Linked DNA regions of Arabidopsis thaliana. The protein of the gene in region 1 interacts with the protein of each later gene in a pairwise test. Each region holds a gene or a part of one and is shown on either strand. Other genes may lie near its edges. The genes, in order: AT4G31620 and ABR1.

Evidence for each region.
Region 2: the proteins of AT4G31620 (region 1) and ABR1 interact in a two-hybrid assay, tested with the Arabidopsis thaliana proteins (one large-scale study listed by BioGRID).

What each region holds. Positions count from the first base shown.
Region 1 is NC_003075.7:15,321,844-15,326,890, forward strand, and holds AT4G31620 (Transcriptional factor B3 family protein), read right to left. Parts: upstream 2,878-5,047; 5' UTR 2,816-2,877; coding exon 2,735-2,815; exon of another isoform or gene 2,660-2,734; coding exon 2,234-2,659; intron 2,137-2,233; coding exon 1,741-2,136; intron 1,664-1,740; coding exon 1,409-1,663; intron 1,328-1,408; coding exon 1,039-1,327; intron 954-1,038; coding exon 916-953; 3' UTR 552-915; downstream 1-551. Other genes in the region: AT4G31615 (Transcriptional factor B3 family protein), read right to left, coding at 1-165, 274-351; AT4G31630 (Transcriptional factor B3 family protein), read right to left, coding at 3,500-3,832, 3,913-4,152, 4,235-4,648, 4,732-5,047.
Region 2 is NC_003076.8:25,889,625-25,894,461, forward strand, and holds ABR1 (Integrase-type DNA-binding superfamily protein), read left to right. Parts: upstream 1-1,824; 5' UTR 1,825-2,054; coding exon 2,055-2,493; intron 2,494-3,295; coding exon 3,296-4,032; 3' UTR 4,033-4,264; downstream 4,265-4,837. Other genes in the region: RPN5B (regulatory particle non-ATPase subunit 5B), read right to left, coding at 4,403-4,621, 4,699-4,776.

The DNA.
Region 1 (5,047 bases):
TTGGAGAGAGTGTACGGTGGAGAAATTTTCCCAGCCGCCGGCGAATCTGCGGCCGTTCAATTTCACTTCCCAGGTTCTATCGAAAGCGTCCGAGGTCAGTTTCAGTTTTGTAGACTGGTGGTTTTTACCTTCCACGTAAGTCGAAAAAAACTCAGCAGGAATCATCTGCACGACACCAACATTAACAAGGATGATATATAAACCAGTTATAAGTTTTTTTGAACAATTGTAACAGAGAGAAACATAAAGAAACGAATAGAAGAGAGTAATTACGGGACTGGATTTGTGTCCATGAAGAACTATGACGAAGAAATGCTTGTTGGTTGGAGAGGAAATTGCTGGATCATCCATTATTGAATAAAGTAATCTCCACAACTCTACTAATAATCTCAGATATATGTGAGTCTGATCTTGAAAATTTTGTCTTTTCCAAGTCTTCTTCGAATTAAAGAAATGTTTTAATTAAAGAGCATGCAAGTTCTTTCTCGAAAACGCTGAAAGAGACAGAAGCAGTAAATCTGGCAAGGAGACTTTACGTTGAAATTTGATAGGTCAGTAAGGTGGGGGCCACCACTGTCACGTTTGAAATTTGATAGGTCTATAAAACTGACCTTAATTATTATTTTTTTTGGATTCTCAATTCACTTTTCTACTACCTACCAATCATCCCACAAGCACACATCTTATCGTTAGACAATCAAACTGATCCCTTTAAACAATCTCACGTCCAAAGGCTATTTAGAAATCAGCTTTACTACAGAGTTTCGATTTTCACAAACACGTAAATCATATATCATTTACTAAAGAAACTACTTGTCTTGATTGTTGAACGAGTTCCAGATGGCAGATACTAACAAGATTTGCAAAAGTTCATGTTCCATTTCCTAATCTTCACTTCCCTTCTAGACTTGATGATTACTTGAGGATTTTGTTGATTTCCGATACTTTATCCCCTGTTTATTTTCAACATTAAAATTTTAGAAACAAAGAAACAGAATAGTAAAAGAAAACAACTGTTCATCAGTGTTTAGATCATACCTAAGGCGTCGATTTCCAGCAGCGCAGCTTCTAAATTCCGCTCCTTTAACTCAAGCTCTGACCGAAACCGTTTTATACCAGTTAGAATGTTTACAATACTCTGTTTCACCTTTTTCGCTTGATCAGAGAATGAGCAGGGTTGAAGTGGTTGCTTGCGCTGCAAGATTTTTGGATCGTCACTGGATTTGTTTGGTGCCTGAGTGCGACGAGAGTGTCCTACTTCTGCAGACACTCGAGCTCTCTTTGGTAACGGAGTCCCCCTCTCTTCTGGAGCCTCTTCTTGCTCTATCTGAATACAATTCATTTTAACAGTCTAAATATAGTTCATTATAACAAAAAAGGCGACTTGAATCACAAGGTGTTTATTCACCTTGACCTTGGCCTCGGAGCAGAACTTGAGCATAGGAGTTGTGCCTTCTCCTCGAACAAACTCCAACGTGAAGGTCTCTCCCGTCTTTAACTTATTGGCTTCACAAAACCTAATCCAACCATGTGCCATGTAAAACTCTCTTCGTTGTTTGGAAGAAGATACATAGGATGGCCACTCTACTCCATTTTTGTCCACTAGAATTATCTCTTCAGCCTCCTTGATCCCGTTCTCCCTCACAAATGATCTCCGGAGACGCTGCATAAGCATTCGTGAAGTATTACAAGAAAATGCATAATCAAATTAACCCTAAACCTAAGACGTTGAAAACTTACAAGTTGCCCTGACTGGATCATGTAATGCTTCAAGGTTACTGTCAGAAACTTGTTCTGCTTCGTTGAAGCACTCCCATCTTCCCTGCTATACTTTTCAGAAACATTAGCTTTTCCATTTGCTTTGGAATTGGAACAGTTTCCTTGTGGAATAACTTTAAAACACAATTGTAGCAAAGGCCTTGTCCCATTCCGGACAAGCTTAAACCGGTAGAACGATCCGGGTTTCAGCTCATTTGCATGGCAGAAACTTCTCCAGCGTCCACGGATAAAAGCCTGACCAGTTCTTTTGTTGTGTCGCAGACCCAGAGTCCATGATTCCCCACTTAGATTCATTAGATCAATCATACAACATCTCTTCGTCAAACCATTTGCTCTCGAAAAATGTTTTGTAAAACTCTGCCAAAAAAGAACAAAACACAATTTCAATGTTCACATATATATAAATAACTCATAAACAAGAACTCTAAAGAATTTGATGCCAAGTAGTACTAACCACTCGATTTAGGCGTAGGTTGGAAGCAGTGAGGCCGAGAAGACAATATTTTTCCGATGAAGAAGACTCTGCTTCAAATCTTGATTTCTTCTTCAACGAAATGTTCTTCGAATCTGAATCATCGTCCCCTGCTTCATCATCATCATCATCACTGTCGTAGTCGCCGGAGCTAGAAGATGTACGTATCTGTGAGAAACTGCGTCCGGAAGGTGTGACGTGGAAAACCATCTTCACGTCGAGTCTGAAAACCAAAACGTCGTCGTCTCGAAGACAGTGTGCGGCGGAGAAATCATCCCAGCCGCCGGCGAATCTCCGGCCGTTCAGTCTCACATCCCAGATTCTATCCGAAGCATCAGAAGTCAGTTTCAATTTCGTTAAGCCAGTTTTACCCTCTAAGTGAGCAGTGAAAAACTCATCAGGAATTATCTGCAACAACAGTGACAACTAAATTTGAGTTTCTTGGTAAGTTGAGAGAGAGAGAGAGAGACAGAGAGAGGTTACTAGATTTGAGGTGTGTCCAGCAAGTGATCTGACGAAAAAAGGTCGGTTGGATCGAGAAGAAGATAGTGGATGATTCGCCATTGTTGAACTCTTTAAGTTATTTCTTGAGGTCTTTATGGATTTTTGGTTTTATAGCCAAATTTGTCTTTTTTTTTTCTTTTTTTTTGTTTAGTCTTATACGTTTTGTTAATAATTTTGTAAATTTAATTCTTCAACCAAGATATTTTTATTTTTGTCAGCATTATTTAAATATCATAGCCAAATACCTAATGATAATGTTATGGAACCCATTATTTAAACCCGTTTGATTCATACTATAAGAACGAATCGTTTAGATTGGTTCGTAAAAAAAAGAAAATATCCAGTTTAAATTAAAAGTCTATCTTACCATCATTACCAAGACAGACATGTCCCGTTCAGTACAACAGTTCAATCACTGGGATACGAATCTAAAGACAATGTCAGTAACTTTATCTTGACGGAGACGTGAATGAGATAAAGGCTATGGGATAATTAATATCCAAGACAAGTGGAAACGGAAAAGTTCCGAAATATTATCCAGTGACATACTTAACTCCATGGTTGCAAACATAAAGTACCTGGTCCATTTTCTAATCTTTATTTCTGAATTAAACTTGACTAATGTTGAAGATTTTGCTGATTCCCATTATCTTTTCCCCTGTTTTTGTTTCCAACATCACATTATCAAAAAATCTGGAACCAAAATAAACCACACACACAATTAAAAGTAGTGTTCACTGGTATTCAGATCATACCTAACGCATCAATTTCTTGCAATGAAGCTTCTAGATTCTGTTCTTTTACCTTGAGCTCCGACTGAAACCGCCTTACATCGGTTAAAGTATCCACAATACTCTGTTTCACCTTTTTAACGTGATCAGATATTGAGCAAGGTTGCTTTTGCTGCAAGTTTCCCGGATCAGCCCTAGTGCTGCGAGATGGCCCTCCTTCCTCAGTAACTTGAGCTCTCTTTTCGACCCGATTATCAGTTTGTTCTTCAGCCAGTGGTGCTTGATCCGTCATTCGGGGTTTCCTATCCGCAGTCTTATGGCCATCAGATGATGCTGCTTGTTTCACCTGAACACAATTCGTTTTAAAACAACGATTTCACAATAGCAAAAGCCAAGAACAAAGACTGTAACTGATTTTATGTTAACCTTGGAACAGATCTTGAGAATTGGAGATGGTCCTCCTCGAATAACCTCCAATGTGAAGGGATCACCAACATTCTTTACGCCATTAGCTACAAAGAAATCTTGACAACCTCTATTGTAAAACTGATCGCGTCCCTTGATGTTAACTAGATGCGACTTCCACTCTATGCCATCTTTGTTCAATACAGTTACCTCTCCTGCTTCCACGATCCCGTTCTCTCTTGCGAACGATGCAGGAAGAAACTGTACATTTTCAACACATTTAAGCGAATGACAACACAAAAAGACTTGAAAAACACCTAGAACAAAGGTCTTGAAAACTTACAAATTGACATGACCTGAACACGTAAGGTTTAAGATCAAACGTCAGAATCTTGTTCTGATTCAATGGAATAGTCTCTGAGCAATTCTCAGATTCTATCTCATCACCTTCAATTTCAGAAACATTTCGTTTTTTTCTTGCTTTGGAAGAGTTTCCTTCTGGAATGCTAGAGGCGTTGGGACACAGCTGTAGCACAGGTTTTATTCCGCTTTGGACAAGCTTAAACCTACAGATAGATCCAGCTTTGATCCCGTTATTACGACAAAAACTTCTCCATCCTCCACGCATAAAAGCCTGACCAGTTTTTTTGTTGTGTCTCAAAAGCAGAGTCCAAGATTTTTCATGTTCATCCCTCAGATCAATCTCACACTCTCTCCTGTCCAGACCATTTGACCTTGCAAATTTGCTTAAAACACACTGCAAAATCACAACTTCATATATATTGTAGCAAAAGAATAGAATGAGAATTGTATTAAAGATTCCAGCGAAGTAGTAATCACCATATTATCTCGGAGTAGGCTTGAAGGTGTGACGTGTGCAACAAGATAAGATTTGTCTGATGAAGACTCTGTTTCTTTTCTTGCTCTCTTCTTCGACGAAATTTTCTTTGAACAAAAATCATCTTCGGATATCGAATTGTCATCATCATCTCCTACATCGTCGTCTTCATCATCATCAAAAACAGTGCGTTCATCATCATCATCGTCAGAGGTAGAAGAAGAGATTAACTGTATCTGAGAGAAACTACGTCCGAAGGGTGAGACGTGGAAGACCATGCCTCCGTCGTGCCGGAAACTCAAAAGGTCGTCGTCTCTA
Region 2 (4,837 bases), on another chromosome or scaffold:
ACTAATCCGAATTGAATGCTTAATTGACGCGTTGATGCGAACTTAAATAGGGATTAGGTTAGGCGATAGGCACACACAAGCATGGTGAAAACATAAATTTATTTAATAATCACTATGTTTCCGTATTTGGATTGATCTTTGAAGACTCGATCTCTAAATTTGTTTTATTTTACTACTAATTTTTATTTGATAGACATATTTAGGTATTTTTATCGCCTAAGTGATTAAAAGCTACTGTATGTTTTAGTGGAATATAATTAAACTGGATTAGTATAAAACAGGGCATCTTAGTTTCTAAAAAGGGAAATGACCGGTGAAAAGGTTTATCCAGTTTTTTTTTTTTTTTTGTCGTGGTTTATCCAGATTAATTATACTGTCGTACAATATTTTTGTTCAGCTTCTTTAAGAAAATAAACTGTCGCACTGACTAATTAATTAGTTAATAGAGACTTGAGCATCAGCCTAAGAAAAATGTCACATCAATAACAATCGTTTTTTTTTCTCCCATCTTTGCAAATTATGTATTATTAGCTTCGTTAAATCTGCGACTTTTTAACAATACGAAAATGTCTCGTGTATAACAGGTAAAAATAACAACTACGTCAACTTGTGAGCACAATTGCTTAGATTGGTTAAAAACAAAAGTCCAACGATGCGTTTCGAGATTATCCTCAAGTTAACTCTCAACCAAAAAATAATAGAAAATCCAAAAGATATCAATATAATAATTATTCTGCGTTCAGACTAGAATCTACGAGTACATATCTGCAAGTTCTGAAATCTGAACCATCCTGAGCTTAATTGCAAATATGGACAACAATATGTTTTTCTTAACCAAAAAGTTTTTGTGCAGCCTCTATTAGACTCGATTCGGGCGAATAAGAAAACAACTCTTATAGTTAAAAGAAAAACACATCACAAATCCTAAAATCATATTTTCTTCTGAACAATGCGTTTCTATTTTTTTTCTATTTTCTTCTGAACAATGCGTTTCTATTATTTTCTTCTGAAAAATCGAAAACGAAGAAAATAATACAAGGTGTGGGTCAAACGGTCAAAGATAAGAGACGAAGGTTGAAACAAGTGGGCCGTAGGGTGAGGCCCAAACGGTCACGAGCATTAGCCTTACCATCACCGACACCGTCCACAAACGGAGCATCTGACGTCGACCAGAACCGACACGTGCAACACACGCGCATTCGTACGGAACGGCTCGTCTCTCAACTTGACCTTCAAGCTCACCGTTTAGACAAAATGCAAAAATAATCTTATTTTATAAATATTCCATTTAATGGTTTTACCTCTTTTTCAGCACCGAACCGTAAATATAGTAATTAATAATCGTTTCTGAATGCCTCCATATTTTAACAGTGTTTATAACTTCTTAAAGTTTTTACTATGCAAGTTGTCTTATGACACAGAGCTAATATACATAATTAATTCATTACCTTATTTATTTAATTTACTAGACTTGTTAAAGTATTCTTCAGAACTGTTCATAGAGTATAGGTCGCATATAGTATATTTACAAAAATATATAATTACTCACAAGTTGCGAAAAGATTCAGATACGTTTCATATAATAGGACCCAATTTTTTACAAAATTTGTTCAAATTGAGTTAAATCATCAAAACCAAATTTTCTTCTGTTATAGATCAAATTTATAAAAATAGCTATTTGCTATATTATATATATATATATATATATATAAACATTAGTTATTAAAAAAAAAACTGCGTGTTTCCAGTTCACACGGGTACAGAGAGAAGCCGACTCATTTTCATTTGGCGGCGCTGAAACCATACAAAGTAATTAACACAAGAAAATTAAATTTGTATATCTATCAGCTAAACCTCGTCCTTTGTCTTAAAAAACACATCTTCTAAAATCTCTGTCTTTCTTTCTTCCTCTTTGTCTCTGTTTCTTGTTTCTCTCTCTCTCTCTCTACAGAGTTTTCTTTCCCTCGAAGAAAAAGAATATTTTTAAATTTAATTTTCTCTGCGTTTATAAGCTTTAAGTTTCAGAGGAGGAGGATTTAGAAGGAGGGTTTTGTATGTGTGTCTTAAAAGTGGCAAATCAGGAAGATAACGTTGGCAAAAAAGCCGAGTCTATTAGAGACGATGATCATCGGACGTTATCTGAAATCGATCAATGGCTTTACTTATTCGCAGCCGAAGACGACCACCACCGTCATAGCTTCCCTACGCAGCAGCCGCCTCCATCGTCGTCGTCCTCATCTCTTATCTCAGGTTTCAGTAGAGAGATGGAGATGTCTGCTATTGTCTCTGCTTTGACTCACGTTGTTGCTGGAAATGTTCCTCAGCATCAACAAGGAGGCGGTGAAGGTAGCGGAGAAGGGACTTCGAATTCGTCTTCTTCCTCGGGGCAGAAAAGGAGGAGAGAGGTGGAGGAAGGTGGCGCCAAAGCGGTTAAGGCAGCTAATACTTTGACGGTTGATCAATATTTCTCCGGTGGTAGCTCTACTTCTAAAGGTTAGTTTTGTTGGGTTTTTATTTTGTCCTCTATAAACACACGTACCCTGTTTCGGATTTAAACCACATTAGTACACACCATTTTGATAAAATTTTACATATTTCGGTTGTGTATCCACAAAACATAAAACATTTAAATTATAAGATCATTCTATTTGATAAATGTTTTCAATAATTTTATGATGTAGTATATACATCAAGGTATGAGTCACATCAAATGTTTGTAACACAAAATCTAAATACAGTTGCACTTTTGTTGTCCTCACGCAATCTACAAAGCAACATGTCTTATATTTAGTTTTTTTATTCTTTTCTTTTATCGTTTTCTAAAATATGGCGAAGTTAGATATACTTTATAATAATTTAAATATAAAGAAAAATGAGGAATAAAAAATAGTAATTAGCGTAAAGATGTAAATAAATATTTCGAAGTGTTGACAAAAATAAATATAATAACGAAACTGTACTTGATTATCTTAAGACATATACTTTAGAATTGTTGTAAAAAGGTTGGATATTTAATTAAGAAAATGATGATGATGATGATGATATGCCAAAAGAATTTATCTCCCTCCAATTGCATCAAGAGTCGTTTTCCACTTCCTTTTTTTTTCTACTTGTTCATTCCTTTTGTCACCCATTTGCCTCATCACTTTCTCATACTCGCTCTTAAAAAAAAAACTTTATAATATCTTTATTGGAGACATTAATATTATCGATTCTTTTTCTTATGTAAGAAAGTGTTAATTCACGAGTGACAACAAAAGTGTGAAATTTTACATGTTTGTTTGTTTATTTGCAGTGAGAGAAGCTTCGAGTAACATGTCAGGTCCGGGCCCAACATACGAGTATACAACTACGGCAACTGCTAGTAGCGAAACGTCGTCGTTTAGTGGGGACCAACCTCGGCGAAGATACAGAGGAGTTAGACAAAGACCATGGGGAAAGTGGGCGGCTGAGATTCGAGATCCATTTAAAGCAGCTAGAGTTTGGCTCGGTACGTTCGACAATGCTGAATCAGCAGCAAGAGCTTACGACGAAGCTGCACTTCGGTTTAGAGGCAACAAAGCCAAACTCAACTTCCCTGAAAACGTCAAACTCGTTAGACCTGCTTCAACCGAAGCACAACCTGTGCACCAAACCGCTGCTCAAAGACCGACCCAGTCAAGGAACTCGGGTTCAACGACTACCCTTTTGCCCATAAGACCTGCTTCGAATCAAAGCGTTCATTCGCAGCCGTTGATGCAATCATACAACTTGAGTTACTCTGAAATGGCTCGTCAACAACAACAGTTTCAGCAACATCATCAACAATCTTTGGATTTATACGATCAAATGTCGTTTCCGTTGCGTTTCGGTCACACTGGAGGTTCAATGATGCAATCTACGTCGTCATCATCATCTCATTCTCGTCCTCTGTTTTCCCCGGCTGCTGTTCAGCCGCCACCAGAATCAGCTAGCGAAACCGGTTATCTCCAGGATATACAATGGCCATCAGACAAGACTAGTAATAACTACAATAATAGTCCATCCTCCTGATGACTTGCTTCATTTTATTTGTTTCACTATAGAGTAATAGAAAACAGGAAAATGATTATATGTTATAGAGTTATTTTTCCAAATATTATAGGGTTTAGGTTGTTTGTATTGTTCTGCTTTCATCCTCTCATGCTTTTTTTCTTAATTTATTATATTTTTGCATTATAATTTCGTTTCATTGTAACAAACATTAAAAAGACCACATGGAGAAAGGAAAAAAAAGAGAGTTTTGTATATAATCTTGCAAGGTCTCCTAAAGAACACAAAAAAAATGTGTTCGAACCAAGCAGAGAAAGAAAACTCAAATGATTATGTTAGAACGAGAGCCTGAAAGATTCTTTCCACCGATGTGTGTGGCTAGACCGGGTTCTCAAGCTCTTAGTGCAACTTTATGAACCATTGTTTCTTTGTGAATTTGGTGACAACTCTTTTCAACAAGATCCAAAAGCTTCTCCAAGTTTGTTGCCCACGAGTTGAGGATTTCGTTGCTGTCTTTAACAATCTGGAAGCAGATTATTCCTGATGGTCTGTCGATTTTTGCTATCAAGGCTTTGGACACAACCATTTCAGATAGATGCTTCTCTGCTTCCTGAAATATAATGAAACGGTAAGAAGAGATTTAAACATGTACTGGTACACTTAAGAGTATTTTGAAACTATATTTACCTCAGTGGTTAGGCATAAAAGTTCTGCAAGTCTCTTAAAGGTAATCCTTGAGTAGTACTTTGAGACAACGAGAATATTCTGCAGAAGATGTGAAGAATTTGTAAAGTTAAGACTCTTCAGTAACAATTGATGCAATCAA